Diceros bicornis minor: one gene and its partners. The protein of the gene in region 1 purifies or fractionates together with the protein of each later gene. This does not show direct contact. Links are inferred from orthologs where the notes say so. Each region holds a gene or a part of one and is shown in the gene's direction. Other genes may lie near its edges.

Evidence for each region.
Region 2: the proteins of GDI1 (region 1) and RAB7A purify together in Homo sapiens (affinity purification with mass spectrometry; 4 studies listed by BioGRID and IntAct, counting the BioPlex papers as one, with this or other methods). This does not show direct contact. The link is inferred for Diceros bicornis minor from reciprocal best matches to the Homo sapiens genes GDI1 and RAB7A.
Region 3: the proteins of GDI1 (region 1) and RAB9A purify together in Homo sapiens (affinity purification with mass spectrometry; 3 studies listed by BioGRID and IntAct, counting the BioPlex papers as one, with this or other methods). This does not show direct contact. The link is inferred for Diceros bicornis minor from reciprocal best matches to the Homo sapiens genes GDI1 and RAB9A.
Region 4: the proteins of GDI1 (region 1) and RAB6A purify together in Homo sapiens (affinity purification with mass spectrometry; 3 studies listed by BioGRID and IntAct, counting the BioPlex papers as one, with this or other methods). This does not show direct contact. The link is inferred for Diceros bicornis minor from reciprocal best matches to the Homo sapiens genes GDI1 and RAB6A.

The regions. Positions count from the first base shown.
Region 1 is NC_080781.1:138,372,209-138,380,129, forward strand, and holds the start of GDI1 (rab GDP dissociation inhibitor alpha), read left to right. Parts: upstream 1-4,630; 5' UTR 4,631-4,808; coding exon 4,809-4,853; intron 4,854-6,051; coding exon 6,052-6,159; intron 6,160-6,302; coding exon 6,303-6,402; intron 6,403-6,545; coding exon 6,546-6,680; intron 6,681-7,155; coding exon 7,156-7,354; intron 7,355-7,621; coding exon 7,622-7,753; intron 7,754-7,921. Other genes in the region: ATP6AP1 (V-type proton ATPase subunit S1), read left to right, coding at 412-452, 802-858, 1,215-1,300, 1,745-1,983, 2,595-2,642, 2,728-2,959, 3,228-3,437. UniProt on the Homo sapiens protein: Regulates the GDP/GTP exchange reaction of most Rab proteins by inhibiting the dissociation of GDP from them, and the subsequent binding of GTP to them. Promotes the dissociation of GDP-bound Rab proteins from the membrane and inhibits their activation.
Region 2 is NC_080741.1:93,393,996-93,401,955, forward strand, and holds the start of RAB7A (ras-related protein Rab-7a), read left to right. Parts: upstream 1-4,749; 5' UTR 4,750-4,837; intron 4,838-7,960.
Region 3 is NC_080781.1:11,084,121-11,092,058, forward strand, and holds the start of RAB9A (ras-related protein Rab-9A), read left to right. Parts: upstream 1-4,919; 5' UTR 4,920-5,059; intron 5,060-7,938. UniProt on the Homo sapiens protein: The small GTPases Rab are key regulators of intracellular membrane trafficking, from the formation of transport vesicles to their fusion with membranes.
Region 4 is NC_080746.1:57,117,408-57,125,569, forward strand, and holds the start of RAB6A (ras-related protein Rab-6A), read left to right. Parts: upstream 1-5,145; 5' UTR 5,146-5,589; coding exon 5,590-5,659; intron 5,660-8,162. UniProt on the Homo sapiens protein: The small GTPases Rab are key regulators of intracellular membrane trafficking, from the formation of transport vesicles to their fusion with membranes.

The DNA.
Region 1 (7,921 bases):
CACCTTGAAGCCTTTCCAGAAGGTGCCCTGTATGGCCAGAAGAGGTGGGAAGGGCCTCCGGCCGGGCTTTGACTCAGGAGTTGGTGCCTGACACTGAGCTAGGCCTGTCAGGCTTCCAGAGACGAGGCAGAAGTGGGCCCTGCTGGTGGGGAGCCAAGTCGCCTAGCCGGGACCCTTTCATGGAGCAGGTGGCAGGGCCTTGAGTGGGTCTGTGAAGTCAGGGGAGAAGGGGCAAGGGATTCCAGGCAGGGCAATGAGGTGAGCAAAGGTGCAGAGGGAGGAGTGAGCACAGCTCCCAGAGCCCATGCTAGAGTGTGCCTGGTGAGTGGGGCTGGTGGGAAAGGATGGCAGCCTGGGGTGGGGGACAGCTGTTTGGGTTGCAGGGGCTCAACCGCTCTGTGTCTTCCATAGCTCAGGTCTGATGGCGCCGAGGGAGGTCCTCACAGGCAATGGTGAGTGAGGTCAGGGAGGGTGCACATTTTCTGTCCTCCTCCAGCCCTGGGCCCCAGAAAGCTGGTCTGCAGCTCCTCAGCCCCTCCTCACTCCCAGGGCAGTCCCCCTGCTTCGGAGCACCTGGCAGCTGAGTAGGGAAATGCTGGCCCCCAGACCTCACCCTTCTCCAGCTGGGCCCTGCCTGGCAGAGGAGTCAAGACATCTAGGGGCCTCCATGCCACTTTCCACTCAGGCAGCGTGAATCCTAGAGTTTCTATAAAGGACAGTCACCCCCATGGAAATGTCTTGTGAACCTTCCACAGGTGGATTTGGAGTTTTCTCTATCTCTATTTTGTTCCACTTAATTAGGGCTTGGCATCAGGGAGTCGACGACTGAGGCCACAGATGTCCAGGAGGAGGCTGGGGGTAGGTGGGATAAGAAGCAGCTACTGTTAGGGATCCTCACTGGAAACTGAAAACACTAGTGAAGGTTGATGGGAGCTGGCTCTGCAAGGGTCTCAGTGTCCCACCATAGAGGACATGCCAGTTGCCAGAGGTGGGGGGACTTCACAGTGCAGATGCCTGGTGGTCCCCACCTCAACGAGGTGATCTCACTGAACGCCATCAAGAGGGGGCACTGATGTGACGTGTGGAAGGGCACGGCCTTGCCTCTGCTGGCTTCTGCTGTGCAACAATGGTCAGATGGGTTCTAACAGGCGTGGGGAGCATTGCTGTAAGTGCCGCCCGTGACCTGGTTCTCTGCTCTCCCCGTTGTCCCTCAGATGAGGTCATTGGGCAGGTACTGAGCATGCTCAAGTCCGAAGATGTCCCATACACAGCAGCCCTCACAGCACTCCGCCCTTCCAGGGTATGTGCCTCTCCTCAGGGGCTCTGGGAGGTGTGGGCAGAGGCCGCGTGGTGAGTTGGCCTGGAGGGGGGATGACTTCAAGCAGAGTGTGGAGCGCATTGGGGAGGCCAGATTCTCCCCTGGGCCAATATGGGGGGAATGGGGGTGAACAGTAAAGTCCTCCTTCCTTCTTCTAGGCAGCAGGTTTCTGTTTTGCCCTGTCAGTCTTACGGGCTGGCATACGTAGGCAACAGTCCAAGTATTCCTAAGTTTGAGGGACTAGGATTCTCACAAAAGCTTAGGGGCCAGCAGGGGAAAGCTTCCTGGAGGAAAGGCCTCCAAATATGACCCTTGGGACTGCAGATGGTGGAGAGGGTGCCCAGTGGAGACAGTGAGGGCAGACCCACTTGGTCTGGGGCCTGCTCCCAGGGCTGTTGAGAGAAGGCTTGTGGACTGTTTCTGCAGGTGGCCCGCGATGTAGCCATGGTGGCTGGTGGGCTAGGTCGCCAGCTGTTGCAAAAACAGCCAGCATCGTCTGTGATCCATCCTCCTGTGAGTTACAATGACACCGCCCCCCGGATCCTGTTCTGGGCCCAAAACTTCTCGGTGGCATACGGGGACCACTGGGAGGACCTGACCTCCCTCACGTTTGGGGTCCAGGAGCTCAACCTGACCGGCTCCTTCTGGAATGATTCCGTTGCCAAGTAAGGGCAAAGTACCTGCCACTGCAGGGGTGGGGGGTGTGTTGGGGGGCATGTTCACTGTGGGGATGTAGGTGGTATCATGGGATGGGGCTGATGGAGGGCTCTTGGAGTGGGGCATGCTCAGATTTCTGCCTCCCAGTGCCCTCTAGTCCTTGACTGGGACCTTAGTTGTTAACACTTCCCAGTCACCTGGGAACCTGACGCCTCCCCCTTGAGCAACATCAAGGCGACTGCACAAGGGCGTGTACCAGGCCTAAACCAGCTCTGGGGCTCCTGTATCCTTCCTGTGTGATAAGAGAGACTGCCCTTACCCCCCACAGCCCAACCTGGGCACCTCAGTGACTCCAGGAGGGAGCTGAAAGGAGAGTCACTGGGCTCAAGGGAGCCCGAGGAAGGAGCCCTCAGCTGGAGGTGGGGGACGTGCATACTGGTTCCTGACTTAGAATGTGTCAGAGCCTGAGTTTTCCCATCTGTCAAGTGGGGTTGCTGTCTCTTCAGGTGGCTGTGAGACCCCAGGGCAGCTTAGGTAGGAGTAGATCTGAGGAATTTGCTCTGAGACATTCAAGGCCCTCCCAGAGCCTGACAACTTGCCTCTTACTCTGGTTCTGCAGGCTCTCGCTGACCTACGAACACCTCTTTGGTACCACAGTGACATTCAAGTGAGTCTGAGGGGTGGCTGAGGTGTGGGCGCGCTGGTGTGGCCCCAGCCTCCCCAGCTGCGTGACACCCCGTGGCCTCCCTCAGGTTTATTCTGGCTAACCGCTTCTACCCGGTGTCCGCCCGACACTGGTTTACCATGGAGCACCTTGAGATCCACAGCAACGGCTCCATTGTCTCCTTCAATGCCTCCCGGGTCACGGGGCCCAGCATCTACTCCTTCCACTGCGAGTATGTCAGCACTTGGAGCAAGAACGGCAATATCCTTGTGCCCCGCATGCAGCCCTCTCTCTGGCAAATCACGCTTCAGGACTTCCAGGTAGGGAGCGGGGAGCACCGAGGGACTGAGCCTCGAGTCCGCAATCCCAGGCTGGAGCTCACAGGATACTGGGAGAGGGGGGAGGGAACAGAGGCCTGAAGAGTCCCAGCATCCTTTGAGTTTGGGTTTGGGCTCAGGAATGTAGTTGAGAGTCCCATCCCCACGGTGCTCCCATCTCGTGAGATCTAGACTACCCACTCACTCGGGAATCCTGGCCCTTACTGGGCCTCCCTCTGTGTGGGGCTACATGGTTCTTTCTGTGCCCCAGATCCAGGCCTTCAGTGTGACAGGTGAGCAGTTCTCCTACGCCAGTGACTGTGCCGGCTTCTTCTCTCCTGGCATCTGGATGGGGCTGCTCACCTCCCTTTTCATGCTCTTCATCTTCACCTATGGCCTGCACATGATCCTCAGCCTCAAGACCATGGACCGCTTTGATGACCACAAGGGCCCCACCATCTCTTTGACCCAGATTGTGTGACCCTGTGCCCATGGGGGGTTGAGGGCATGATGTGTCCAGGTTGTTGCTTTCCCACCCTGAGGCATGCTGGACTGAAGGGCTTCCCCTCTTCCTACTATAGTGTGAACCCACAGCTCCCCTCAGTCTGTCTTGCTCCCTGTTCAACTGAGGGGCTTTCCTGGGGCTGCCCACCCCCCATCTCTACCAAGAAGATGTATATATTCTGCATTGCTAGTAGAAAAATCTCCCAGGTTTGGGCATTGTGAGGGGAGGGGACCTGAGTTCTAGGGCCCCTCCTCCTCCCCCTTTCTCCTTATTTATTCTCATCTCTCTGCCTTCACCCCTTGCTGTTTATAGTGCTTTTGTGGCCAGTGCTCCCTCCCCACGCTTTATGGGGCTCCCTGCAGCAGCCAGGAGCTGGAGGTTCCCTAAGTTTGGGGGTGCTGAAGTACTATTTAGCTGTCTGTCCCACTTGGCTGGTGTTATTGTTTTTTGGTGATGTTGTGCTAACAATAAACAGTACACTGGGGTTTATTTCTGTGGCCTGATAAGGAAGGGTCTTCCACGGCAGGTGGGCTGGGTATGATCACTGGGTTTCTGGCATGTTGCCGCCAGGAGTGCCTGGCAGGAGCCTGGGGTACTCGGTGGTTTCCTTCCTAATAAAATAAAGACGGGTCGCCATGCGTGGGCCTCTTGTCACTCATTTCTGCACTGGGCACGAGGGATGAGCTTGGCTTAGGGCTGCGGGAGGAGGCGCCCGGATGTAGCTGTAGCTGAGCCAGGCCAAGGGGGAGGTGGGGAGGACTCGAAGTTCCCCTGTGGGCTGCTTCTCCCGGAGCCAGGGGAGACCTAGAGGGTCTTTAGCAAGCTGGGCCCCTCACCGGCTAGCGTAGGGAGAGTGCCGTGGCGCGGCGGCGATCAACGCCTGAGGGAGTCGGCCGCTACAAAGGCTGCCCTCACGTCCCGAAGGGGTCGCCCTCGGCTGCCGCAGCGGCGCGCGCCCAGCCCGCGGGAACGCGCCGAGCCTCCCGGGGGGCGGGCGGGGCGGGCGGGGCGCGCGCTGCTCCCGCGCACGGATCCCTCGCGGGCCGCAGAACTGGCCGCCGGCCCGCCCCGCCCCGCCCCGCCCGCCTCAGGGCCCTTGCCCATCGCCGCCGCCCGCGGAGCCGCGGTGGTGCTGGGTCCCGGGCTCCGGCAGCCCTCCTGGGAGGCGAGACGGAAAGGCAGCGGCCCCGGTCGGGCGCGGCAGGGCGCTGGGAGGGGCCGGACTCTTTGACGCGGCGGAGGGGTCCGACGGCGGCCGACGCGCCGCCATCTTTGGTCCAGTGCGGCGGCGGCGGCTGTGGTGAAGGAGGAGGAGGAGTCGACTTGCGCTGGCAGCGAGGCCTGACCATGGACGAGGAATACGATGTGATCGTGTTGGGGACCGGCCTGACCGTAAGTGCGGCCTCGGGCGCCTGGGGTCCCGCATCGCCCCCTCCTTCCCGCGGGGCTGCACCTCCCGGCCGCCGGCCCCATCCTCCCGTCACTGCCCACCGCGGCGCTGCCGCCCCCGGCGCTCGGGTCCCCAAAAAGACAGCCGGGTGTCCGACCCCCCGCGACGTCGCCTCTACCCATCGCCGTGGCCCGGTCTCCAACAAGCAGCCCTCTTCCTGGCCGCCCCCTCGACTCCCCGGGCCCCGACTCCCATCCCTCCCCACCTCCCCATTCTGGCCTGCCAGGCTGGAAGACGCACCCCCCCACTCGTCCCGATGTCCTCCGGTGCCTCCTGATCCCCTCGCCCCTCACCCTCGCTCTCCTAGCATCCGCTCCTATCTTGGCGCTAATCCTGGTATGAGGACCTCGGGTCGGAGGGCGTCGCCGGGGTGGGCCGTCATCTTCCCTCCCCGGCTTCTTATGGGGCCTGGGGACCCATAGAATGTTCTAGAAAGAGCATCAGTGGGGGCAGTGACCACATTCCCGCTACCTCACCCCGGTTTCCCTTGGAGATCTCAGGCTGAGTATTATCTGCAGCCTTTGTCCTTGGGCTAGTGACAGTGATGGGGGAGGGTGTTTATCTTCCCCCTTCCTCAAACCCCGTTTGACCCCCCCCCCCCCCCCCCCCGAGAGGCTCATCTCCCTCAGTCGGGGCACAGAAACCCCTCCCGTGGCCGAGAAGGCTCCTGCCCTTTGAGGAAAGAGCAGCCCAGGGTGGGGCCTGCGATCTCAAGACCGGGTGAGCGTTTCTTCACTTCCCTTTCGGGTACCATTCGCTGTGCAGCTGGGTCTCCTCCGTGGATCATTGTGTCCTCCTACCTGCCTTTCCGTGGGCATCTACGTAGATAGAGGACTTTCTTGGCATGTTAGTTGCCGGAGGACCATCTGTGTGTCTGCTGGACACTCTCTCTCCCTCAACGCCGCCAGTGTTTCTCTCCTCCTTGTTCGCTCAGCAAGGTTATAAAGGAGGCTGTGGTGAGATGAAGCCGTTGCCCCCAATTTTAGGCGAGGCGACCAGCCGGGGGTGGAAGGAGCTGTCCTTTGGGGTAGAGTCCTTCTGGCTTTGCTCTTCTCTCAGGTTTGGAGTGGGGAACAAATCAGAGCTGCTAGTGGGAATGTGGGTAGGTGGGAAATGCAGTGAATGTCACTCCTTCCCCAGGAATGCATCCTGTCGGGCATTATGTCCGTGAATGGGAAGAAGGTGCTGCACATGGACCGGAATCCCTACTATGGGGGCGAGAGCTCCTCCATCACACCCCTGGAGGAGGTGAGGCTGCCAGGGCCAGGCCTATCTCTCATTGATCTCTCACATAGGGTACCGAATCAGCTCCCCAGGTTCTTTGGGCTGGGGGCAGGGGCAGGGAGGGCTAGTCCTTGAGGTACCTCTCTTTCTCTCCTTTCTGCTTGCAGCTGTATAAGCGTTTTCAATTGCTGGACGGGCCCCCTGAGGCGATGGGCCGGGGCCGAGACTGGAATGTTGACCTGATCCCCAAATTCCTCATGGCCAATGGTGAGGGAGACGAAGGAGGTATTGTGGGGGGTGACTGAGACAACCAGAGGAGGGTCAGGTTCCAGAGAAAGGGCAGCCAGACCAGCTAGAACTTCTGGAAGGAGCCATGCTGATATTGTTGTCTTCTCCCTACTGCCCCACAGGGCAGCTGGTAAAGATGCTACTGTATACAGAGGTGACACGCTACCTGGACTTCAAAGTGGTGGAGGGCAGCTTCGTCTACAAGGGGGGCAAGATCTACAAAGTGCCGTCCACCGAGACTGAAGCCTTGGCTTCCAGTGAGTGCACGTCCCTTGAGCCAGAGAATCATGGGAGGGCAGCTGTCCAGAGCAGGGTGCCCCGTGCCCAAGGTCACATTCCCCATGCAGTACCAGAAGCCCCTTGCTCTGTCTTCTCTGCACCACCCCAGGCTGTGCCTCACACTTGTTGCCAGGAGGGGACTCCATACACAGAGGGGATGTGTGGGGGATCTCTTTCTTGAAAGACTTAAGCCTTTGACAGGGGCTCCACCTAACAGGTGAAACATCCCCACGTGTCAGAACCAGGAGGGCCCTCAGAGCCTGTTGAGCCATCCCTCTTCATACAGATAGGGAAACTGAGCTCAAGAAAGGCAGAGCAGTTAACGTAAGGTCACATGGTGGTCAGCAACAGAACTCAGCTGGGAGCTGGGGTGCCTGCTTTCTCGGCCTGCCTGGTGGGAAGGAGAGGTTCACTTTCTGTGGTGCAAATGCTCTCCTCACATTGCTTTCGCAGATCTGATGGGCATGTTTGAGAAACGGCGCTTCCGCAAGTTCCTGGTGTTTGTGGCAAACTTTGATGAGAATGACCCCAAGACCTTTGAGGGCGTTGACCCCCAGAGCACCAGCATGCGTGAAGTCTACCGGAAGTTTGACCTGGGCCAGGATGTCATCGACTTCACTGGCCATGCCCTGGCGCTCTACCGCACTGATGAGTGAGGGGAAGCTGGCATGGTGGACCACCCCTTGCCCAGCCTGCACCCTGCCCTCCCCGCTCCTGCTTGCTGCTGCCTCAGCCCACCCTGTACATCTCTTGTACTTGGTCATACAGTCACCTGTGGCCTCTCCCGTCCCTTCCCTGCTTTTGACCCATAGTCTTCCCCAGGTCATTGAGGGTGGTGGGAAGGATGGCTTGGGGCCTGGGTAGGGAGAAGCCAGGGGTGCTGCTATTGGAGCCTCTTCTCCTGAACCCGTCCCCCCAGCTACCTGGACCAGCCCTGTCTTGAGACCATCAACCGCATCAAGTTGTACAGCGAGTCCCTGGCCCGGTATGGGAAGAGCCCATATTTATACCCACTCTATGGCCTTGGTGAGCTGCCGCAGGGCTTTGCAAGGTGAGGGCATGGCTTCTTTAAGTTGTCAATACTGAGTAGGATTAAGGCCAAGAATGGAAACGGCTCCTTTGAGCATTTCCATAGCATTTTCTACTTTCCCATTGTGGTTTTAATTTACTTCACACCATCTTTGTGTGATGAGGCACTGCAGCAGTGCATTGAAGCACA
Region 2 (7,960 bases), on another chromosome or scaffold:
TTGTATGAATACACATGCAAATGTTCTCAACAACAAATTAGCAAACCAAATCCAGCAACATATAGAAAGAATTATACACCATGATCAAGTGGCCTTTTTCCCAAGAATATGAGGTTGGCTTAACATCCAAAAATCAATTAATGTAATACAGTATAATAATAGAATAAAAATGAAAGCGAAATTAAGATTTTCCCATGTAAACAAAAACTGAGAGAATCTGTCACTAGCAGACCTGCACTACAAGAAATGCTAAAGGGAATCTTTCAGGCTAAAATGAAATGATACCAGACAGTAACTCAATTCCAAAGGAAAAAATAAAGAGCGCAAATAAAGGTAACTACATCAGTAAATATAAAAAACAACATAAATATACTTTTTGTTTGTAGCTCTTTTTTTTCTTCTATGTGATTTAAGCCATAATTATATCTATTATGTGGATAAAAGTGCAAAGGCCTGATGTTCCTGTTTATTTTGGTTTGTGCTGTCCAGTATGAATGTCATTGAAGGACAAAGAGGCACCAGCACTTGGGGAAGTTATTTCATTCCTGTGCCCTATTTCCTGACTTGTAGCATCTCTGACTGGCTGGGCCACAGACCCATAGTTGTGTGCAATGGGCCCAGGAGGGCCAGCCACTGGCTGCCGGCTCAATGCTGACCTGAGTGGCATTCCTGCCACAGATCTGCTGTGCACCGTGATGCCATGCATACCTACCCAAGATCTCAAGCATGATGGCTAATCTGTCTTCTTCATGGCTGGTTTCACTTTCTCCAGTGGCTTTTTTTTTCTTTTTTTGCTGAGGAAGATTTGCACTGAGCTAACATCTGTGCCAATCTTCCTTTATTTTGTATGTGGGTTGCTGCCTCAGCATGGCTGATAAGTGGTGTCATGTGCCCAGGATCCAAACCTGTGAACCCAGGCCACCAAAGTGGAGCAGACCAAACTTAACCACTACACCATGGGGCCAGCCCCTCCAGTGGCTATCTTTTGAGAACTACAGAACTTCGGGCACCTAAAAACTCATCCAAACCTCGGCACTAAAAGACAACCAATCTCTAGAATGACTTCTAGCAGCATGAGGCCGTGTCCTTAGGATGACCCCAGCCCCCCATTAAAATGCCTGCCTGAGAAAGCTCAAACACTGCCAGCAGAACTCACTATTCTCACCAACACCTGACTTCCTTTTCTTAGAGCATTTACTAAAAAGGGCTTGTAATTATGACTCTTTACTCTGTCCCTTTGAGATGTATCTACTACAACTCAGGAGTGTCAGGATTATAGGGCCACCGGGCTGGCCCTATAATCACCTTTACAGTGACCTACACTTTGTAATTTTCCACTGGAGCCCCACTCTCTCTCCTTCCCTACCCTCTTCCTTTAAAACTCCCAGTCACCTCAGTGCAAATAGGAACAGAGCTCAGCTCTTCCCTTGCTGTCAGCAGTTACTGAGTAAAATCTGCTTCCACCACTCCAGCTGGTGCTTCAAACCTTGGCATATGCAAATAGTTTTAAAACAAGGTAGATTTGCCTGTGGGAAGGAGAGAGAGAGAGAGGACTGGGAGGAAGCAAGCAGAAGACATCAGGGGGCTAGGAACGTTGTTTTTCCTGATAAGTGGTGGTTACACAGGTGAGTTCACCTTGTGCTAATTCATTAAACTGCTCACTTACGATTTAGGCACTTTTCTCAATGTGCTTTGTTTCAGTATGAAAACAAAGCAAAAGAGTAATACTCAGTAGAGAAGCTGACATAAAACAATACATACTATATTACATATTTATATAAATTCAGACATACCCAGAGAAACTATACTGTATTGTCCATAGGTGTACACTTTAGTGGTGTTATTTTGAAGCAATGCTTCTCAAATTTGAGCACATCAGAATCATCTGGAAAGCTTGTTAAAACCACAGACGGCTGGGCCCCCTTCCAGTTTCCAATTAAGTAGAATTGGGCTGGGGCCTGGGAATTTTCGTTTCTAACAAGTTCCCAGTTAATGCTGGTATGGTTGATCCTGGGACCACACTTTGAGACCCACTGTTACAAAGAATGGCAAGGAAGTATTTACCATAAATGTCAGGATAATGGTTATCTCTGGCGGGTGGAAGGGGCTTGTGAACGGTAAAGGCGCACAAGGGGGAGCTGCTGGGATGCTGGCGACATTCTCTTTCCTCACTTAGGTAGTGATTACATAGATATCCACATCAAAATAATTTATTAAATTGAACATTTGTTTTATGCACTTTTTATATATATTATGATTCACAATAAAAAAAAAAAGGTTAAAGCAATTTTAAAAACAAAAGAAAAAGAGTCTGCATCCCTAATGGCACACTATGCCCCATAGGCCTCCTTGGACTACTTATTCCATGAGATAGATTAATTCTTGTCTGTTTAAGCCACTAGAGAAGGGTATTGTGTTATTTGCAGCCAAACACAATCATAATTATATGTGATAATCTTGGAGCTCATTCCATAATAGCACTGCTTTATTCTTTTTAAGGGCTGTATAGATGTGTCATATTTTTAAAACCAAACCAGTCCCCCATTGATGAACAATTAGGTTGCTTCCAGACTTTTCTATTCAAACAATGCTGGATTGTATTGGTGGGAGAGAGGGAGAATCTCCCTCTGCCCTTTTCCTTAAGGTTCTTATGGCTGGCCAAATAATTAACAAGACAGGTTAGCAGGAGAAAATAATACCAAGTTTAATAACATGTATACATGGGAGAAAGCAGGGACATGGCGTTTCTCAACACAATAACAGAAATTCTCGTCTTAAATACCATGTTCAGCCAATGACAAAGGAGGATGTTGGGGGTGGGAGGAGTCAGTTACAGGAGTTACCACTAAAGCACAGTAAACAAGAGTAAGGTTATTATGCAGATTTAAGGCCTCACCTTCCACATTGATAAGTCTCTAGAAATGAGGCCATCTCCCCTTTTCCCAATACAGAGAGGGCGATACCTTTACAAATGGAGATTTCCCTTATAAATGTAAATGTTTGTCTGGCAACTCCTCGCAGGGCCATCCAGAGAATGTGGCCAGAGAGACATAAGATGGGCTTGTTGGTGCCTTTTCTATTGTAACATCTATTTTACATTATATTACAGCCATCAGATAGAAGGTCTGTTCCAGGAAGGAGTTACTATGTCAAATTCTTTAGACAGGTAGTGGGGGAGGTCAACTGTGCCTCAGAGAAAACAATCAAGGTAAAGAGATATATTTCAGGGTGGCCAAATCTTGATCTCCCACAGTATCTCTTTGTACATATGTCTGAGCACATGGGGGAGCCCACCTGTAAGATAATTTTCTAGGCCTTGAAGTGCTTGATCAAAAGATTTGTACAAGGGATTATTCTAAGTTAACAGACATTATACAAATGTACACTCCCACCAATAGGTATCACAGTGCCTGTTTTCCCCAGCCTTGCCAACACAGTTTCCCATCAAAAGGCACACCAAGTGATGGCGGAGGACACCAGAACTCTCTCTCTTCCTAAAAACCTGGCTAGGGGGCCCTATTACCCTGGTTTTATAGGTAAGTAAACAGATTGCCAAGGATAAGGGACCTACTTTTCTCAACTTCAGCCTCCATTTCTGGATTGGATTAACATCTTCTAAGAATAGATATGGTAACTGCTCCGTGTCATAGCGATTATTATTATTACTATCATTCCCACTTCCCATTCTGCAAGCTAGAAGCCATTTCTTCACTTCTGGTGCAGACAGGACAAAAATTGTGTTCTAGCCTCTCTAATCCATTCCCTCTGGTACTCCCTGAGGCCAGTCCTTCTTCTCTTCCTCCCACCCTCTTCTCTTCCCTCCCCTAATGAGCCTCTCTTCAGAAGCCCCATTGCTCGTCACAACAAGGCTGCAAGAAGTATTGGTTCCTGTTTCTTTACCATCTTATTAGCACATACCCCGACAGGGTCCTGTTCCCAGAGAGAATGTGTAGTGGTTAAGATCAGAGACACCCACCCCAAACTGCCTGGGCATTGCTACTGGCTATCCTGTAACCTTGGACAAATTACTTCTGCTTTCCTCACCGTCCTCATTTGTAAAATGGGAATGCTGATACTCCCTACTTCAGAGTCGTAGGTTGAGTACAGATAATATGTGCCTGGCACGTGGTTGTTGTTGTTATATTACTATTATCAATGGAGAAGAAACTAATACTAAGAACCTGGCACTGTAATCTGAAAAGTCACTTAATCCTCGCAACAGTCCCCCAGAATAGATTGTTATTCCATTTTAGAGCAACGGGCGAGAGAGACCGCTAATCCCATCTCTGCCAGGGTTTAGCAGAGCGACCAAGAGTGCGAGTCTGTTTTCTCCCCTGTAAACAGTAACAATAACGCGTGCCTCGCCCTGTCCTGCGGAGTACTAACAGACCACGCAGAAGCCCTTGAACAAACTTGCTTTCCTTCCCCAGTTTCCCATCCACACGCCCCGCCACACCCCTATCGCTCAAGCGCAAGTTCACATTTCAGTCCAGGCTCCCCCAGTCGTCACAGCCGGGACGCGTGACGTCACGGCCCCGCCCGAGCAGACCCGGAAGCAGAATCCCCTACAGGTCCGAGCTGGCATTACTGCTCGGGCCCGCTGCCAGAGGGCGCGAGAGTCGCCGATGTTGGCTAGCACCTCCCTTGTTTCGTCGCAGGCCGGTCCCGGAAATGGAAGCGTTTGCCGTACAAGATGGCTGCTTCCTTTGTGGTGGTATGGAACGCTGAGAGGCTGTCCTGGTTCTGGGAGGCGCGGTGATCTGAGCGCAGTGATTGCTGCGCAGCCTTCTCGTACAAGTTAGCTGCTGAGGAGTTTCCAGGTGTCTTTCTTGAGGCGGTAGGTGGCCACAGGTACAAGATGGCGGCCCCCACTGCGGGCTCGCGGCGGGCGGGGAATGGGGGCGGCGTGCGCGGTTGCGCAAGCGGGGCGGCCCTCCAGCAGGGTGCGGCTGAGCTCGCGGCCGGCTTTTGTGTGCCGGGAGGGTGACGCCGCCGGGCCGCGCTGTGGAGTGCTGAGACCCGGGTAGGGGATTTTGCTCCCAGCAATTGAGAGAGGTGGGCAGAACCGAGATTCCTGGAAGCCGCAAACTGACTCCTGTAGACAAAGACTCGTTTTTTGCTATTTTAAGCCGTGAAACCAGAGTATAACCAGGTGAAATAAATTGGAGTAGATCCTTTCAGAGAACTAACCTGCCATCGCTAGAAAGAGCAAAGCGGCACTTTATATACTAATATATATTTTTTTTGCTGAGGAAGATCAGCCCTGGGCTAACATCCACACCCATCTTCCTCCACTTTATATGGGACTCCGCCACAGCATGGCCTTACAAGAGGTGCGTGGGTGCCTGCCCGATGCGAACCCGCCAACCCTGGCCCAGCAGCAGAGCGCATGCACTTAACCGTTTGCGCCACCAGGCCGGCCCCACAAAGTTCTTTTATAAAATTATAGTAAAGAGAATAACACGTTTAAAAAAAAGTGAGCTTTTTCAGCTGGAACCATGACATTTAATGAAGATTCTTGAGATTGAATTTGTAAGGATAAAAATTTGAAGGTCGGTACTGTAGTACTTGCTGCAAAGGATACAGATCCATGTGACAACCTGAGCCCTCTTGAAAGCTAGATATAGGTTTGGTTTTGTTTGTTGAGGGGAGGAAGGGAGATGGGGGGTTTGGCTGGCACACAGAATGCGCTCAAGACCTCCCTGTTGAATGAATGCCTAAATGCCTGTCCACTGCCAACACACGTGTTCTCAGCAGCTTAGTCTTGCTGGTATAGCTTCTGATATTTCTAGGGTTAGTATAGTGGAAAACAATAGCAGCATTGAATTAGAGTTTAAACCGAGTGTGTTTTTTGGCCTTAAAATCATCCAGAAATGTGTTTCCAATGCTTAAAAAATAAAGTAGCAGCCGTTTCAGAATTGGCATTGATCTTGGGAATCGCATATTTGAATGTGAAGGAAATGCCAGTCCTCCATGACCGTACTGAGCCTTTGCTAGTGTGCCAGACACTGGACTAGTGGGCACTCTTACATGTACCACTCTGGGTTATTGGGTGTATTAAATATGGTAATATATGGAGCTGGCCTGGTGGCATAGCAGTTAAGTGCACGAGCTCCACTGTGACGGCCAGTGGTTCGCCAGTTTGGATCCTGGGCGCGCACAGACCACCACTCGGCAAGCCATGCTGTGGCAGCGTCCCATATAAAAAAGTGGAGGAAGGTGGGCACAGATGTTAGCCCAGGGCCAGTCTTCCTCAGCAAAAAAGAGGAGGATTGGCAGAGGTTAGCTCAGGGCTGATCTTCCTCACACACACACACACACACACAAAAATGGTAGTATAACTGGAGTTTAGCCAAGTTCCTGACCTGTACTAAATGCTCAATAAATATTAGCAATTACTATTTTGGGGCAACTGTGAGTTTCTCGATTCAGTACATTTTTGCCTCTGAGACCTTATGGAGACTTTAAAAATATGGTAGCTACTGTAGAGAACTTACTGTTTTTTTTTAATCAACTTAGAGGCCACATGGTATAATGGAAAGAATTTAGGTCCTTATTGTGTTTCTTTGAGTAAGTTACTTAACCTTTAGGGACTTTAGTCTCCTCATGTGTAAGCCGAGAATCACAAAACCTCTGTTGGAGGCTCACTGTGAAGATAATGATTAGAAGTAATGTATGTAAAGCACTCAGTAAGTGTTCTCTAATTCTGTAATATTTCAACCTCAGAGTTAAGGAACTAATACTGCACTCAGAGGCAGGAGAACTTCTCTGGTCAGGGGCAGGAGTAGGCGGCCACAGGGTGACAGTTAACACAGGAAGCCTACAAGCAGAAATTGGAGGGATGACAGGTCCACTGGCTTCAGGGCCTTAGGCTTCCTCTCTCCATTGGGAAAATGGTGAGGCCGCCACACCAGGCAGATATGGTCTGCAGGCCCTTTGCAGAGGTGCCCCCTTGCCAACAGCGACCTGCACTGTTTCAGCTCACAGTCGCCTCTTTGGAGCATCTTAACACTGTCTCTCAGAGGCATCAGCCACTGTTTATGAGGCTCATTCCTCATACTTTAGTATTTAATATGAAGTACCTACTGCATATGTTTAAATTTTTTTTAAATTTTAAATTGTGGCAAAATATAAATAACATAAAATTTACCATCTTAATATTTTTTAAGTGTACAGTTCAGTGGCATTAAGTACATTCATATTGTTTTCTCCAGAAGTCTTTTCATCATACAAAAAGATGAAACTCTACCCATTAGCAATAACTGTCTGAAACTCTGTACCCATTAAATAATACCTCTCCATTCTGCCTTCCCAGCAGCCCCTGGGAACCACCATTCTACTTTCTGTCTCTGAATTTGACTACTCTAGGGACCTCATGTAAGTGGAGTCATATAGTATTTGTCTTTTTATGACTGGCTTATTTTACTTAGCATAATGTCAGAATTTCCTTCCTTTTAAAAGCTGAGTAATACTCCATTGTATGCATGTTCATATACCACTTAAGGGGAGCAAAATATGCCACCCCAAAATGTGCCACTTTGGCATGTGGGTTATTTTGAGCTGAAGGCAGTCAAGACCTAGCAGACTCAGGAAAATCTTTTCCCTCTCCCTTAACTGCCTAAAAGAGTTTAAATAGGGGCCTGGCTGAGGAGGAGAGCAATTACCAGAGATTTCTTTTTATCTGTAAGACTTACCTGCGTGGCAGGGCAAACATCTGCTCTTCTTGTCTTCTGGTGCATTGCCTTTCTCCCTTTTGAAGGCTCAGGCCCTTATTCCCTTCCTTAGGTCAGGATAGCATATAAGCCTCAATTGCCTGACAGCTTTTGGGTCTCATGTTTTTATGGGGCTCCCATACATATGAAATTAAATTTGTTTTTCTCCTGTTAATCTGTCTTATATCAATTTAATTATTAGATCAGCCAAAGACCCTAGAAGGGTAGAAGGAATTTTTTCTGCCTCG
Region 3 (7,938 bases), about 130 Mb from region 1:
TCAGACACCTGGCAATGGGGAGGTGGAAAGTGCAACACTTCAGCATTACTGTCCTGAGTTCTAGGAGGGGCACAAAGTTTTAGACTTGTCTGTGTGGATTTGGGAGAGCTTCTGTATGAAGGAAAGAGTTGCTAAAATAGCTGGATTTTTGTCTTGCCCTAACCATTGTAGCCTAACGCAAAGATTACATTTGGATGCCATAGAAAGTATTTCTATAGGTTGCTTAAAATCGCTTCATTAAAAAGTTTCCACTTATTGCTCAAAAGAATATTATAACATGGAATTCAAAATTTAAATAACAATTCTCAGAATCCTGCTGCCCTAATAATTCAACTGTCTTGATTTCCCTTGTTGCTTTTATTGTTTTTTTTATAAACACTCGTATGCACAAACGCCTGCACAAAGACACACAAATATACCTTTTTACATAATGTAACCATGGTGTGTCTGGAGTTTTCCTTCTACTGCCTTTAAAGGTGAGGGTCAGTTTATGACTCACGTTCATCAGGAAATCAACAAAGGCATCAAATTCCCCACTTCATGCCTGAATTCTAATGCCTATTCCATTCTGCCATCTGTGATTACTGGACTTAAGCTTTGTTGAGAGTGTGGTAGAGAAAGAGCAGCACTATTCAACATGCACTTATTATTTTTAAGAGAATACATTAGATCTAGTTATGCCTAGAGAAACCATTATAATTTCAGTTTTTCATCAATTATGAAGATTTTTTAATAGTTTGCATCTTTTCTTTATTTAGAATTTTATTGAATGCTTCTATATGTGAGGTTCTTGGCAAACTGCTGTTCCCTCAACTTGCACCGCTCTTCCACAGCCCTTCCCACTGCTGCTTGCTCATCTTTAGGGCTCAGCATGAGTCACCTCCCCATTCCTGCCTTCTCTGGTACCATTACCCTGTATTCCCACCGACTGTGCCTTGTTTATTTCCTTCAGGGGCCTTAATCCAACTTGTAACTGCACATTTGTTTAGTTGCTTATTGAATGTCACCTCCACTCTTCTGAGCTCTCCTAGGAAAGGGCCTGAATCGATTGTATTCACCAAGGTAAGGTCATATGATATAAACACAGCTGGTGGATGGGAGCGAAAACGCAGGGAGGGTGCCTGGGGACACCCCCTGAATTCCTCCTCAGTCTTGTCTACCTCTGTATTCTCAGCACCTGGCATAGTGTATGCACTCACTATATATTTGTTGAATAAATAAGTATTAATGTGAAATGACTTTTCGTTTTCTGCAAATCTTAAAATTACCCAAGGGGAGAGAGTAGCTGTGTGTCTATGCTGCAGGTATTGGAAGGGTTTGGGCTGGTGTGGTGGTTACCCACTAACTTGGGAGGTGCCAGTTGGGTTGGTTCCTGACTCCCATGCTCCCCCTCTCCCGACAGTGGGCAGGCTGATGGAAGGAAGTGTATTGGTGGCTTTTGACAGCCAGGTGGCCATTCAGCATCAACCACTGGACGGAATTCATGGGACCCATGAAAGGATATATGCTCTATCATGATTGTGGGTCCATTTCCATTTGATCACATCAACCTGAAGATTGCAAATTCTGAAATTTGCTCACTGATGATATATAGATTAAGGGTGATGCTACTATTCCTTTTTTGGATTCAGTACTCCTTTTTAAACTAAGCAGTAAAGAAATCAGACTTCTGGTATTTCCTCATATATTGAGATTTTATCTGACTTAAGGATCAGGAACAAAAGTTCTGTATTAGTGTAAGAAACATGCTGAATTTAGTTTCAAGACAAACAGGAAGAGTGTGACATTGGCTTGAGATATTGACAATATAAATATATAAATACATATAAATAAATGTTAGATAAATATTTCAATATCTATTGAAAAGTTATATATTATAAAAAGTGCTTCCTCCACCAAATTGGGATTTTCCTCCATATACTATTTGGTAATGTTCTTTTTCACTTAACATTATTTATTGTTATCTATTTTCACTCTGACTTTAAAGCCAAATATAACAGATTTTGAATTACTTTTTATGCTTTTCTTCCTTCTTAGTACAGCTATACAAGAGCATCTATGCAATATTGAGAACAAATCTCTTATTTTTGCCAATGACTTGGGAAAAATATCAAATTTCTGATTGTTTAGATATCATTTAATGGTCAAATTGCCTACCATTAAGTTCTGTGTTTTTCCTTATATGTGAAAAGTATAATCAATTTAATTATAATCAGTATTTATTACACTTGAGTCTGGGGCCCACTTACTTGTGACTTTTCATCAGAGATACCAGAGGTGACTTCTTTCAGACTCCAGCTTGAAATGGGGTATTAACTCCCAGTGCTCATAGTAACAAGTAAGTGTCATTTAAGGGAAGGAATTGTAACCGAACTCAATGGGTCTGTCTCTTGATGAGTGCAGAGCCAAAAATCACGACAACCAAGGCTGAAGTGGATGAAGAAAAAAGGTTTATTGCTTGCACAAGCATTGGGGAACACCAGGGATAGTCCCCAAAGCAGTGCACCCCCCCAGCCCACCAGCTTAGTGCAGTTGAAGACTTGATACTCCAGAGTGCAGAGGATATGTTACAACTGTGTAACAACTGGGCCTAATCAGGGTGCATGTGCAAGCCGTTACATAACCCCGTTCAACGCCATTACACGATGAGCTCAATGTAACATGCCATTCCATAACAGGTCCAAGGTAACTTTTGGACGCTTCCCGCTGGAGCGGTTTGCAATGGTCCTGCTGCAACCGTGTAAGTTTCACTGTAGGATGGCAACATCTGCAAAAAGGAGGACATCAACTTCTGAAAAATAGCACATTTAATTTTCTCATTGTCTGGAAAACATTTGACAGACTATGTTTAGTTGCGGATCAGATTTTCATTAACTCTTTCCTTGCCTGGTTTCTGGTCATAGAATCATTAATGCCTAGCAACCTTGACCTCTTTTTCCTCCATGGGTGATGCATTACAAGTTTACAGAATATAAAGACGAATATTCTAATTAGATGAAGGGCGTCAAACTAGGTCAGTTCTTAAATGTTTTTTGTCAGTCAACAAATTCATGGAACAAGAGAGATAGAGACCATCTATCTAACTTGTGTCAGCTTGCCAACCACGCACACCCAACAACAAAAATCCCCCAAACTCACGCTCCAGGGACAAATCTTGTGACCCACCCTACTCTTGCGCTGTCAAATCAATTAGGTAAAGAAGTGAACAGTAGAAGAGACCAGAATATAAGAATATTCTTGTGTCAGTTGGCTAGTGTCCAAGTAATAGTTATTTCAGAAAAAGTAACTTTCCTCCTTCTTTCTTCAAGTGCTGACTATAAGCTACACTCTGATAGGTTTGTATGCCTCACTTACGTTTTGGAATAGCCTAGGAATCACTTGTAGGACCTTCTTAGATCCCTTTTTTGAAAACTCTTGGATTTCTCAAGTCTTACTACTTGAAGTCAAGATACAATAATTCCGTGAGAGCACTTGTTAATAGCTGGTTGGTATTAGCAGTTGCAGAGATAAAATCCTATTCCATCACTCCTTGACTATGATTATGACATAGGATTTTCAGGTAGCATTTTCTTAGTGATCCCGTGGATTGCTTGTTGCAATTTAGTACATAACACTTTATATATTTTTTCTTTTGGAAAATTAACTCTAATGTTCTTATATTTTTATTGCATAGTTTTAATTATGTGTTTTAAAATAAGGTAATGAATATCTCTTCCCCCTCCCTATTTTCAACAGATTTGTATTTTATAAACCTTTACTCATACGTCCTTGGGGAAATATCTGCATGGATAAAACATAGATTTTTTCTATAAAAGAAAAATTCATTTAAGCTCAAACTAGAGCTCAATCTTTATTACTCATTTATGCCTCATTTTCATGAGTATTCTAAAATTGTCTCTTATACTTGTGAGAAACTCTCTCAAATATAACCTTTCTAGTGCTGAATGAAAAGACTACATTAGATTCATTACCTGAAAATGACTCCCCAAAGAGCCAGAGGTTATTTAATGGTTGTGGGCCTAGCAAATCATAAAAGTGAGATGCTTCTCTTAGAAAATAAACTAAATCTACCCCACAAAATATATTGAGAGGTCACTAAAAGTCCTTCGGATCTCCAGGGGCCTATATCGTAAGATCCATGCGCGCGACCCAATCTATAAAGACAGGAATTAGAAGAGCTTCCCCAATACCGCCTTTTCCCATTACTGCTTTATATTTAGAGATGACCGAGGCAGTATTTTTTTTAAATTTTTTATTGATGTCATAATAGTTTATAACATTGTGAGATTTCAGTTGTACATTATTATTTGTCAGTCACCATATAAATGCGCCCCTTCACCCCTTATGCCCCCCCCAACTCCCCCCTGGTAACCACCAAACTGTTCTCTCTCTGTGTTAGTTTCTATTCTACATATGAGAGAGGTCATACAGTGTTTGTCTTTCTCTGACAGAGGCAGTATTTTAACAAGATTAAAGAAAAATTTTAAATTTAAAAAAGTTCCTGTTGTTCCACAATATCACAGCTGTTTTCATTTTTCATTTACCCTTTTGTTCTTTGCACATTCATTTTCTCATGGTAATCACAACATCCTTGTGATTGTGCTTATGCGATCTGTTTATTTCCACTCTATGTAAACTTTTAAAGATAACTATCATTTCGTGCTGTCTCTCTCCGGAACGCAGCCGGAGGACACGAGGAACCGCAGACCCCATGAAAAACCGTGCTTCAGAAAGGACAGGCGGTCAGGGAGTGGGCGAGGGCGGGGCGGACCGGGACCTCGAGGCCCCGCCTCCCCGGGCTCCATAATCTAGGCCCCGCCCCACCGCCACGGGCCCCGCCCCGCCTCTCCAGGGCTCCGCCGTCCAGGCCCCGCCCCGCCTCCCCGGGCCCCGCCCCGGCCTGTCGCCATGTTGTTCCCTCTGTGCTGGACGGGAGCAACTGGAAGCGCACACGGTTAGCGCCGCTGCCTCCTGCCCGCCAAGTCCCGAACCCTCTCTTCCTCGTTGCACCCAGACGGACCGGCCCGGAGCTCCCCGGCGTCCTCCGTGTGGCCGCGAGGTGAGCGGGGCGCGGACTCCCGTCGGGGCTGGGCGGAGACAGGGGTCGGGTGCGCGGGGCGTCAGGGCCTGAGGGAGCCCCGCGGGCGGCCTGGGCTTCGGGCAGCTGGGGCGGGGGGCGCGCGGGGCCTGCGCGGGTCACTCGTCCGCCCCGGGACGGGGGACAGCTTATCGCTCGCTGCCTCCTATTGACTGACGCAGAAGGAAAGAGGGGTTCCCACACCCACACACCCGGGGAGAGGGACTCACACCCAAACACGCGGGGACGCCCTGAGAGACGCCCAGACATCCGGGGGTAACACACACACACCTGGGAAAAGAAAGATCCACAAACAGGGACACACGACCACCCTGGGAAAGAGAGATCCGTGAACACCTGGGGACCCACACATAGCCAAACACCCAGGGAGAGAGAGACATACACGCAAACACCCGGGGAAACACACGCACAGGGAGAAATATACCCGTCACCCAGGGACACACCCAGACGCCCCAGCCCACCCAAACCAAACTCTACCCTCGAATGGTTAACGTAGAGAAAGCAAAGGCGCTCTCACAGTTTGATTTTGGTGACCTCTGACCCGCTGCCCAGGTGAGCGTTTGCTACTGTGTTCTGAGCACTCAGGTGAGGCGTTTGGAATGTAAAGCCACTCCTAGGGGCTGAAGGCGGTTTGGGGCGTTATCTGATTCAAACTCTGGCTAAGGTTTCCGAATTGTGTTCCTTTCTTTCTTCCAACTGACTACGTAAAGAGGCCGGATGAGAATTTTAAGTGCAGACCAGAGCTGTGGAGGTATTAGTTGGTTTTGTTGTTGGTGTTTTTTCTTTTTAAGTGATGACACATCCCGTGACCACGGTTCTTTTGAGGAATGACTTTTCTGCTGGGTTCCAAATTGTCACGTGACCATAATCTTTTTATAGAATTTCAGCGTCCTGAGAAAATCAATACACAGAATTTGATTGCTTTTTTAAAATTAAAAATTTTTTTTACATGTTTGTCTTTCTGTCTCTGGCACCTCTGTAATGGAAAAATCCCTAAATTTCCTGTAATCTCAGAAACTGTTCATTGGAGTAAAACTGTAGAGATGAAGGAAACCCAGAACTCTTCAGTCAGGGACTTGTAAGAAGAGTATTCTTAGTTTGTCTTTTAGAAGTGTCTGTTGAAGTCATCATCACTACTTGTCTAGAACTTTCAGTGACTTATTTAGATTCCCGAACCTAGGATGATGGTTTGGCAGTCTGGTGCTTTTTGTATTTTTGTGTAGACATTGTAGTAAATTCCTCTTGCTTATACTAAAAAGTTTCCGGCTTGTTGACTTGTTTATTTTGGAGTTTTGTGATTTGGGGATATTTTTGGTTTATCCTTTGTGAGGTTAGAGTAGCCCGAGGAAAACTAAGTTGAACATCATTGGCCTTGACTCCAAGCCGGCTTCTTGGAGAAATGCTTGGGAAATACTTTAGTGCTAGTTGCTCATTGCCAGCCTCTCTCTCTTTTCATTTCTTTCCATCTCAGCCACTTCTTCCATCTAGACTACAGTGCCCTGGAGGCCTGAAGATAGGTTCCTTTGGTTGTGGAAGTTAATTTTTAGCCTTCTCTCATTTCTTAGCATTTCTTGGGCAGCCACTCGGGCACTGGATGTTCTGTGCATGTAAATCCTGTAATATATCATTTCATTTAATTCTCACAACATTTCTGCGGTATTAGCTCCATTTTACAGATGAGGAATTTGCTGGAGTATAGGAGAAGTAGAACTGTTTCCCGTGGTCACACAGGTAGTGAGAGGGCAGAGCCAGGATTCAGTCAGGCCTGTGTGAGTTGAGAGGTGTAGTTCTCAACTGGGGAACATTTGACAATGTCTGCAGGCATTTTTTTTTTTTTTTGGGTGAGGAAGATTCGCCCTGAGCTAACATCCGTTGCCAATCCTCCTTTTTTTGCTTGAGGAAGATTGGACCTGAGCTAACATCTGTGCCCATCTTCCTCCATTTTGTATGTGGGATGCCACCAGAGCATGGCTGATGAGTGGAGTAAATCCGTGCCCGGGATCCGAACCCACGAACCTGGGCAGCCGAAGTGGGGCACACGGAACTTGAACCACTCAGCCACGGGGCCGGCCCCTCTGCAGGCATGTTTGGTTCACACCTGAGAGGGAGTGCTGCTGGCATCTAGTGGGTAGAGGCCAGAGATGCTGCTCAACATCCTACCATGCAGAGGACAAGCCCCCCACGGCAAAGAGTTGTCTGGCCCAATCTGTTACTAGTGCCAGGGCTGAGAAACCTTGCTTTACAGCAGTCTGTGTGACTCCAGAGGTAACGTTTCAGCACCTCTGTAATTCTTCAAATGCGATGCCGTTTTCCTATTTAGGATACCTCCCCATCGTTTGAAGAAAGAGCTGGGGGAAAAATTTGAGAACTTGAAGACGTTTCCCTTGACTAAGAGGCATATTCATTCATTTGAAAGATGAAGAAGTAAGCAAATAATTTCTGATAACAGAATCCTTTTTTTTTTTGTTTTAAGGCAAAAGTGTCAAAGAGAACTTGAGAGCCGTTCCGAGCCGTTCCGAGCCGTTGAAGTAGACTTAGGGAGTTTGCTTTCTGTATTATTCCAGTTGTCAACAGACATTTTCTGAGTATCCTGTGGGGCACTGATACGAAGCTGCTGGTGATATGAAGGGCAGTGGGCAGTCCCCACCTCCCCGAAGCTTCCAGTCTAATTACCATCATAACATCAGGTTTTGATTTTGTCCTAGAACAAAATTTATTGCCCGGGCTACTCAAAATCAGGGGCCAGGTATCATTAAAAACAAACAAACAAAACAGCTGCACACCCACACACAGGTACCTGTATCATGGCATTTACTGTGGGCGGACTTAAGTGGGGAAAA
Region 4 (8,162 bases), on another chromosome or scaffold:
GTTGTTCTCTTCTACTCTGATAGTGATTATCTCTTAGTAGCAGGTGGAGTGATTCATTCTCCTGTACATCTCAGAAATTTTATTATCTGTGGGAGATAGAGTGCGGGGAGAGGAGAGCTCCAGCAATGTGTCAGGTATTACACGTTCTGGACTAGCATAAAATGAAACAACCTCTTGCCCCACTGCAATTTCAAAGCCTGGAAGTAACACTCCACATTTAATGCTCTGAGAAATCACATTATTCATAACAAGGACCGTGATTCATATGAACAGAACAAAATGGAATTATTAAAAATAGATTCTGTAGATCAATTTATAGCAAAAATATCTTCTGACTTAGCTTATGAATTGGCTATAATCACAGGAAGGACCATTCCATTGAAATCCTACTGCCTTCTCCTCCACCTTGACTAAATAACCTTTATACTTCTCCATTGGCACATCATTGTAGGTCAAGGTATTTGGAAAACAGGTTTTGACATGAGGTCTTCTCCTTTTTTTTTCTTGTAGTCTTTTTAAAATGAGACTTGCTTAAACATATCTTGTGTTAATTGTGCTCATTTAATTGGTCACCTTGAATTATTGAGCATTTGTCATTTTTATGCTTTGTATATTGACCCACTATTATTTTTAGAAGCAATTATTATAATAACCTGCAGAGTGGCTTAGAAGGGCTTCACATTTGATAGAATTTGAGTTCCTGCCAGACCTATTATTTGTTTCAAATTTGAGCACTACGATTTCAGTCCTTTTACCTGGGCAGTTTTTCTCCTTCTATTGATTTCCTGCCTCTCCAAGAGTAATAAATCCTTTTTAGGGAGTAGTAAACAGAAAAAAGGAACTTCCAGTTTCATAACTACTACTGTATTTTATACACACACACACACACACACACACACACACAGAGTATTGAGTGCCTAATGTTCAAAGAACTGTGTGAGGTGTTTTAAGAGATCTAAAAACGAGAATGTCAGATGCTTTCAGCTGCAAGTAACAATGACAAAGACATATTATGAAGACATTATTAAATATAAAGATATTTATTATTTTGCTAAAAAGAAATCCAGAGGAAGGCCAGTTCCAAGGTTGGTACAATGGCTCAATGATGCCTTTTAGCTTTCTGCTGAGCCATCATCAATGGGTTGGCTTTTTTATTCAGGAATATATATTAATATTCACAAGATGTCTTACCTCTACATCCTGTGTCTTTATATAACCACAACCAATGGCAGACAAAGGCAGTTTTCCCTCATCTATCTCTTTTCATCAGGGAAGAAAATCTCAGAAGTCTCTGGCACGTTTCCTTCACCTCCCACCGGCTCAGATCAAGTTACGTGCTTATAGCTTGGCTGAAGGGAAGTTGGAAAAGTATCTGTCATTTCCAATATACATCGTGGAAGTGTGTGTGTGTTTTGTGTGTATATTGTTGGATAAGCAACCGATAATGTCTTCTACAAGGAATAAGATGAAATCTCAGTCTTCCCTCAAGAAGCTTTGTGTCTCTCAGGGCTGAAAGAAAGGCTGTAATTATAATTTCTGTGTGGTAGATTCCCAGACACACTCAAAGGCTTCAAATTAACATCCCTTTTAAATTGGTCAAAGAAAACTGGTCTAGGTAATTTTGATTTGCAGCTGCCAAAGCTGTCTTCTTCCATTGTTGCCAATTTTTAGTGATGAGATCTGTTCTGGGCATCTTTTTCATAAGTGATGTTAAGGAATGTAGTATCAACTTACATAACGTGATTTTAAGTGATGTTCTCTTTCTCCCAAATGCTCTTGCCTTTCCATCTCCACATGCCCAAATCTCATTCATCTTTTGAAGAAAGCTAAAAATGATCCCTCTCACTTATTTCATTTATTCAGCAAATATCTGTTCCATGCTTACTATATAGCAAGCACTCTGCAAGTGCTGGGGATACAAGACATGAGCTCTGACCTCATGGAGCTTACAGTCAGGCAGAGAAGACTGATAATTAATAATAATTAAGTGATGGGGAAGAATAGAGTACAATGAGAGGACAGGCATTACATTGTTGGTGGGGATGGGAGCAGAGAAATCTTCTTGAAGACTTTTTAAAGATGATACCTAAAGGATGAGTAGGAATTGGGGAGGGGGAGAGGGGAAAGTATTCAAGGCAAAGAGAAAAGTGTGTGTAAATCACAGAGGTGAAGATGTTGGTGAAAGCACCCTTGAAAAAAGCCTCTTTAATTTCTCCTTATCCCAAGTAATTTCTCCATTTGATGAACCAGACAGCACTAATATGCAACTTTTAGACCACAAGATTTCTGATGGCAAGACATATGATTTACACAGAGTACTCAATAGATATAAATGCAGCTTCAGAGGAGAATGAGGCTGTATATGTGTCAATGCAAAATGCCAGCTTAAAACACTAAAACATCTGAGGTAAGAGGTGGATTATATCACATCTCTCTTCAAAATGACAGGAATAGCATCACTTGTCTAGGTAACTACAGAGACCAAAGCAGCAGGGAGGAATTGATTCATAAAGTTCTGCAGGAAGTACAAGGTAATTATAGTTCCAATCCTCAGATGTTACTTTAAAGGTTATTTCAGGAAGCATAATGAAAACCTGGTACCCATCAGAAAGAAAAAATAGCCACTCACTTTTGTTTGCAAGAGCTTTTCTTTTTAAATGGTCTCTTGGTATTGGTTGCTCTTCGTGTGTGCCAGGGTTCTGGGTTACTGGTAGGGAGGGCCTTACCAGACCTGACAAGCTACTTTTAAAATCAAATATTTAAAAAAAAATCTAATGTCCATGTAAGAACTCAGTTTTTTACCATTTCATTTTAGATACATGTTCCAAAATCCTTTTGCCATTTGGCTGAGAGGAACCAGAAGTGAGTAAATTTTGATAAAGGAGGAGGTTTGGGGATATAGCAGTTGTCTTGATAGGCCAGAATAGATGATATTTTGAGAACCTCTATTTCTCCCCTTAATTTATTCTAATTCAGCAATTCATTCCCAGTTTTGAGAAGGCACTTGTTTGATCCCGCCGTTTTTACAGCTAAGTAAATAATAACCCCCAAATAATGAGAAAATGTATATAAATGTGTTTTGTGAATGGTAAGGCACTATATATAAACATAAGGACTTATTTTTTATTATCTTGGGAAGTATTTTTGATACCAGTGTTTAAAAGTGTCTTCTTCAAAGGCAGGGATTACTTTTTTGGATGCTGTCCCATTGTATGGTGAGGTGTGGCTGAAGTATGGCGAGGTGTGGATGCCAAATTCTCTAATTCAGAGATTCTTAACCTTTTATTTATTTCTATTTTATTAAGACTTTTTTTAAAAGTTTTAGATTTACAGAAAAATTGAGCAGACAGCACAGAAAGACCCCATATACCCCCTCAAGTTTCCTCTATTATTAATATCTTACATTAGTATGATACATTTGTTATAATTAATGGGCCAATATTGATATATTGTAATGAACTAAAGCCCATATTTATTCGGATTTCCTTAGTTTTTGCCTAATGTCCTTTTTCTGTTCCAGGATCCCATTTAGTTTAAAACTTATGTTCAGTTGTCATGTTAGTTAACATGTCATGTTAGTTACATCCACATTACACTTAGTTGTCACGTCTCCTTCAGCTCCTCTTGGCTGTGACATTAACCTTCACTTTTTGGGTCATGAACTGGGTTGAAAATCTGATGAAAGCTACCGATCCTCTCTACAGAAAAATCCACATGTTTCAGACGTCTAATTTAAGGGAGGTCCACCCATAGCAGATTCAGAAACCCTGCTTTAGGAGGCAGAGTGATCTTTAAAATATCCCCTTCCCCACACTTGGGCTCAAGTTCAGGCTCTACCTCTAATTTGTTGTGTCACCTTTTCGCAAAGCTGTTTTCCTACGTGGGCCTCAGTTTCACCATCTGTGAAATTAGGGTTTTGGTTTACATGATGTCTAAACCCTTTTCTAGCACAGTGGAAGGTGGGCGTCACCTAGAGTTGTCAATATCTGAGGAACAAAGGCTGGTAACAGAAGAGAAGCAGTCAGGCCAGGGAAGTGGATAGGCTTATCAATAGGAGGTTGCAGAGGTTCGATGGAGGAAAAAGACTAAAACCTGGGTTCCGCTTCATGGCTTCTTTGGATTTTGTAATGGATTTGGTAAGTCATTTCCTTCCTCTGAGCTTCAGTTTCCTCATCTGCAAAAACATAGAGGCCCTGCTTCTGGTAGTTATGAAACTCCTGGGAGCAGGAGCAGAGAATATATCTACTATGACATCGTGTGAGGAATTACCATAAGAAAGATGGATGGGCCAGCCCCATGGCTTAGCGGTTAAGTGCACATGCTGCGCTACTGGCGGCCTGGGGTTCAGGTCCCGGGCGCCCACCACCTCACCGCTTCTCCAGCCATGCTAAGGCCGCGTCCCACATACAGCAACTAGAAGGATGTGCAACTATGACGGACAACTATCTACTCAGGGGCTTTGGGGAAAAAAAGGAGGAGGACTGGCAATAGATGTTAGCTCAGAGCCAGTCTTCCTCAGCAAAAAAAGAGGAGGATCGGCATGGATGTTAGCTCAGGGCTGATCTTCCACACACACACAAAAGAAGATGGAGAAGGTGGGTGCATGAACCAGTGAAGGGCGGATCTAAGCAATGTGAGGCTAGGTTGAGGGCTCAGGAAAGAGTAACCTAGTAACACACCTTATAGCCCTCCGTCCACACCACACCTTGCTGCGGTCAATACCATCTCCATTTTGGCCCCGCCTCCGCCCGACCTTCCTGCCTCTCCCTTCAGACTGCGACGCGCCACACTTCCCATGGCAGCCGCCGTGTAACTCTGTCCTCCGCGCTGGTGCCGCGCGCGCTCTCGCGCTGCCACCTCACTCCCATCGCTGCCCACCCTTGGCCTCTTCCGATTGGCTCATCAGGTAAGTGACGTTAATGCTCCTTGTTCCACCCCTCACTTCCCGCGGGCCCCGCCCCACCTCCTCCTCGCTTCTCCCTACGCGAGTCGAAACGTAACCTGCCCTCGTCTGCGGGAGAGCAGGCTAAACCAGGAAGGCGCAGGCTGTGGCGCGCACGCGCACGCGCACGCACGCACGCTTGCACGCCGGCGGCCGGCTGGGCGGCAGGCTCGCGCCCGGGCTCGCTCCGCGCCGCACCAGAGGCTCGCGCACTCAGCAGGTTGGGCTGCGGCGGCGGCGGCTGTGGGAGCTGAGGCGCTGCGTGTGAGAGGTCCCAGACGCGTCTGCGGGTCGGCTCCGCCACCCTTCTTCCCTGCAGCCCAGGCTCCGTGGCGGGCGCTGAGACGGGAACGGCGCTAGCCTTGGGAATCCCGAGCACACCCCTGGCTGCTTCCGACACCGCCCTCCTTCCCTTCACGTCCGCGGGCCTCGCTCGGTGCTAGGCGACTCCGCGGTGAGGCGGCGGCGACGGCTGCTGATCTGTGGAGAGGAGTCCTGCCCTCCAGCCTTGCTCCGCCGCCGGGCCCTGCAGGGACCGAGAGAGCTCGGCGCCCGCCCTTCCTCTCGCCTTTTTCATCAACCGGTCGGAGCAGCGTCGGTCCGGGAGGTCTCTGGGCTGAGGCGGCGGCAGCTCCTCCGGCTCCATCATGTCCGCGGGCGGAGACTTCGGGAATCCGCTGAGGAAATTCAAGCTGGTGTTCCTGGGGGAGCAGAGCGGTGAGTGCGCGGCTCCCCCACTCTGGCAGCTGGCCGGCTTCCCCGCACCGCCCCCAGTGCGGCCCTGCCGTTCGCGGAGGCTCCCCGCCGGCCTCGCGTTCACGCGGCGTTCCACCCCCAGCCCTGCCCCGTGGTCGCCGGCTCCTCTTCGCCTTGATCCGCCGGTCGGATTTTGACCCTTCCGTCCCCGACTTCGCCGTCTCCTTTCCCCGCAGCCCGGCCCTCTCCCGTGGTTCTGCCCTCCCCTGGCCTCACCCCGCCCAGCCTCAGCCTCCTGTCCATCCCTTTCTTCCTCGCGTCTCCGTCGTCTCACCACCCCCAGCCCCCTTCCTTGATCCCCACCCTTCTTCCTTGCTCTTATCCCAGTTCATCAGCTTTATGAGCCCACCCCGGGAAGCCCCAGTTCGGAGAACGGGCCCTCTTCAACCTTGGGCAAGGAGGGTGGGATCTGGGCGTTGTTTTCCCCAGAGGCTCGGCCCTGAGAAGTGCGGATCTTATGGAAGGGGGAAAGTGGGGGGTCCTAGAAAATTCTGGGATGATTTTCACCTGGGTGGGGAATTAGTCTGAGTTGTAGAGGAGATATATCTGATTTGGAGGATGGAGTAGTTGGGGGGCTGGGGGCGGCGGCGGTGGCGATTTTTGCCTCTTGGGTTAGGCTGTGCTTGTTGTAAAACCTCGTTTTCTTCTCTTGACTTTCATCTCTGACAATTCTTTTGGCAGTGTTGATGCTTTTCCGATCTCTGCCAGATGCTATGTCATGATCATTTTACTTAGAATTTTTCACATCTCACCTCTCTTTTTCTCGTTTCAACATGAATCAGTGTCTGATTCTCCTCATGGTGGTGCAAACAGGAATTACTGGGGAAATGTTAATTATTCCATTTCTTCTTGAGTATTTTCCAATTATATATTTAGAATTCCTGTGAGAGAAGGCTTGAGAATAACGAACATCTTTGTTTTGTAGGATTTCCTTTGGGGTTAGGGAGTAATGGAGTAGAGTAGGAATAGATTTGTCATCCAGTTATCTAAATTAGATTTAAATATGTAATATCATTTTGAGTAAATGATTCTTTTATGCTTAATATTCCGTAGTATCTAATGAGTGAAATTGTTATTTCATTTATCTGGTCAGGCTTCTACTGTCGCTGTACTTTGTATTAGATACAAGATCCTAATTTTGTAATGGCTGTCTCTAAAATTACTTCTTGTGGTAATTCCAATTTTCTGCAGTATTATGCAAACTTGACACTCGACAATTTAGAGATTATCATCCTCCTTTGTTTTTCTCACACTTTTCATGACCATCTTTAAAATTCAGACATTGAGAGATGATGAGTTCCTCCCAAATCATCCAACATTGAGTTACCTACTAGGTGTCTTAGGTTAGGTTATAGAAAGCATTCGTTATTTGTTTTGGTTGGAAAGAAGATGATTGATATAAATTAAGAGCTTTTATTAGTGTCTTGAACTATTTATACTAATTTCTATGGCATTAAAGTGGGTTAATACTAGTTGCAAAATTGCTTCCAGTTGGACTGAGAAATTATTTTTCTCCTTTCATACATAATCTTTCCTGCCACCCCCCTTACCAAGGAAAAATATAGTCTCTTTGCTTATGAATTTTCCTGAAGGAAGTATAAACTTGTTTCTTTAAGTAACTTAGTAAGACCTATGAAGTTGATCCTGGTCCAGATATTTTATGGCAATTTCAGGACAATGCCATACATAAAATATAGCCTATTGGTCATTATTGATAAATAGGATCTAAAATGCTTATTGTGCACTCTGGGAATGTTATTGCCTGCCTTATGTTGTGATGCAGAGCTATTTAGTTTTCATGAAAAAATGCATTAATCTCTGTCTTAGGAAAATTTTAGTGTGAATAGAGATCATAAGTATCTGTAGGTTTCCTTTGAATTTCTTGAGCATTTATATTCTAATTCACATTGCAGAGTTTTTTGGCTTCTCATTTCTTACTTTGTCTTAACTAACTCGCACTCCCCCCGCGTAATTCCTGAAACCATCTTAGATTTTTTTTTTTGAATAGACTGTTCTTTAGAGCAGTTTTAGATTTAGAGAATAATTGAGAAGATCATGTAGGGGGTTCCCATATAGCCCCACCCGATTTCCCCTATTGTTAATATCTTACATTTGTTACAATTAATGAACCAATATTAAAAAAAGTCTATAATTTATTCAAATTTCCTTAGTTTCTATCTTTTTCTGTTTCAGCATTCAGTTCAGGATACCACATTACATTTAGTTGTCATGTCTTCATAGGCTCCTCTTAAATGTTTTTTTAGGATTGTATTTACATGCTTTTTAACTCTGTGGAACTGTAAGGTTAATTATCTTTTGAGATTGCTATATTGCTAAGTAATGCCGTCCAATAGCTTTGACAGTGAAAGATTGATCTCTTTTTTCGTGGGCAGTGTCTGTAGTTTTCTTATGCATTAGGAAAGGTCTGTAGAATCCATGTCATCTTGATGTAACTCTTCATGAA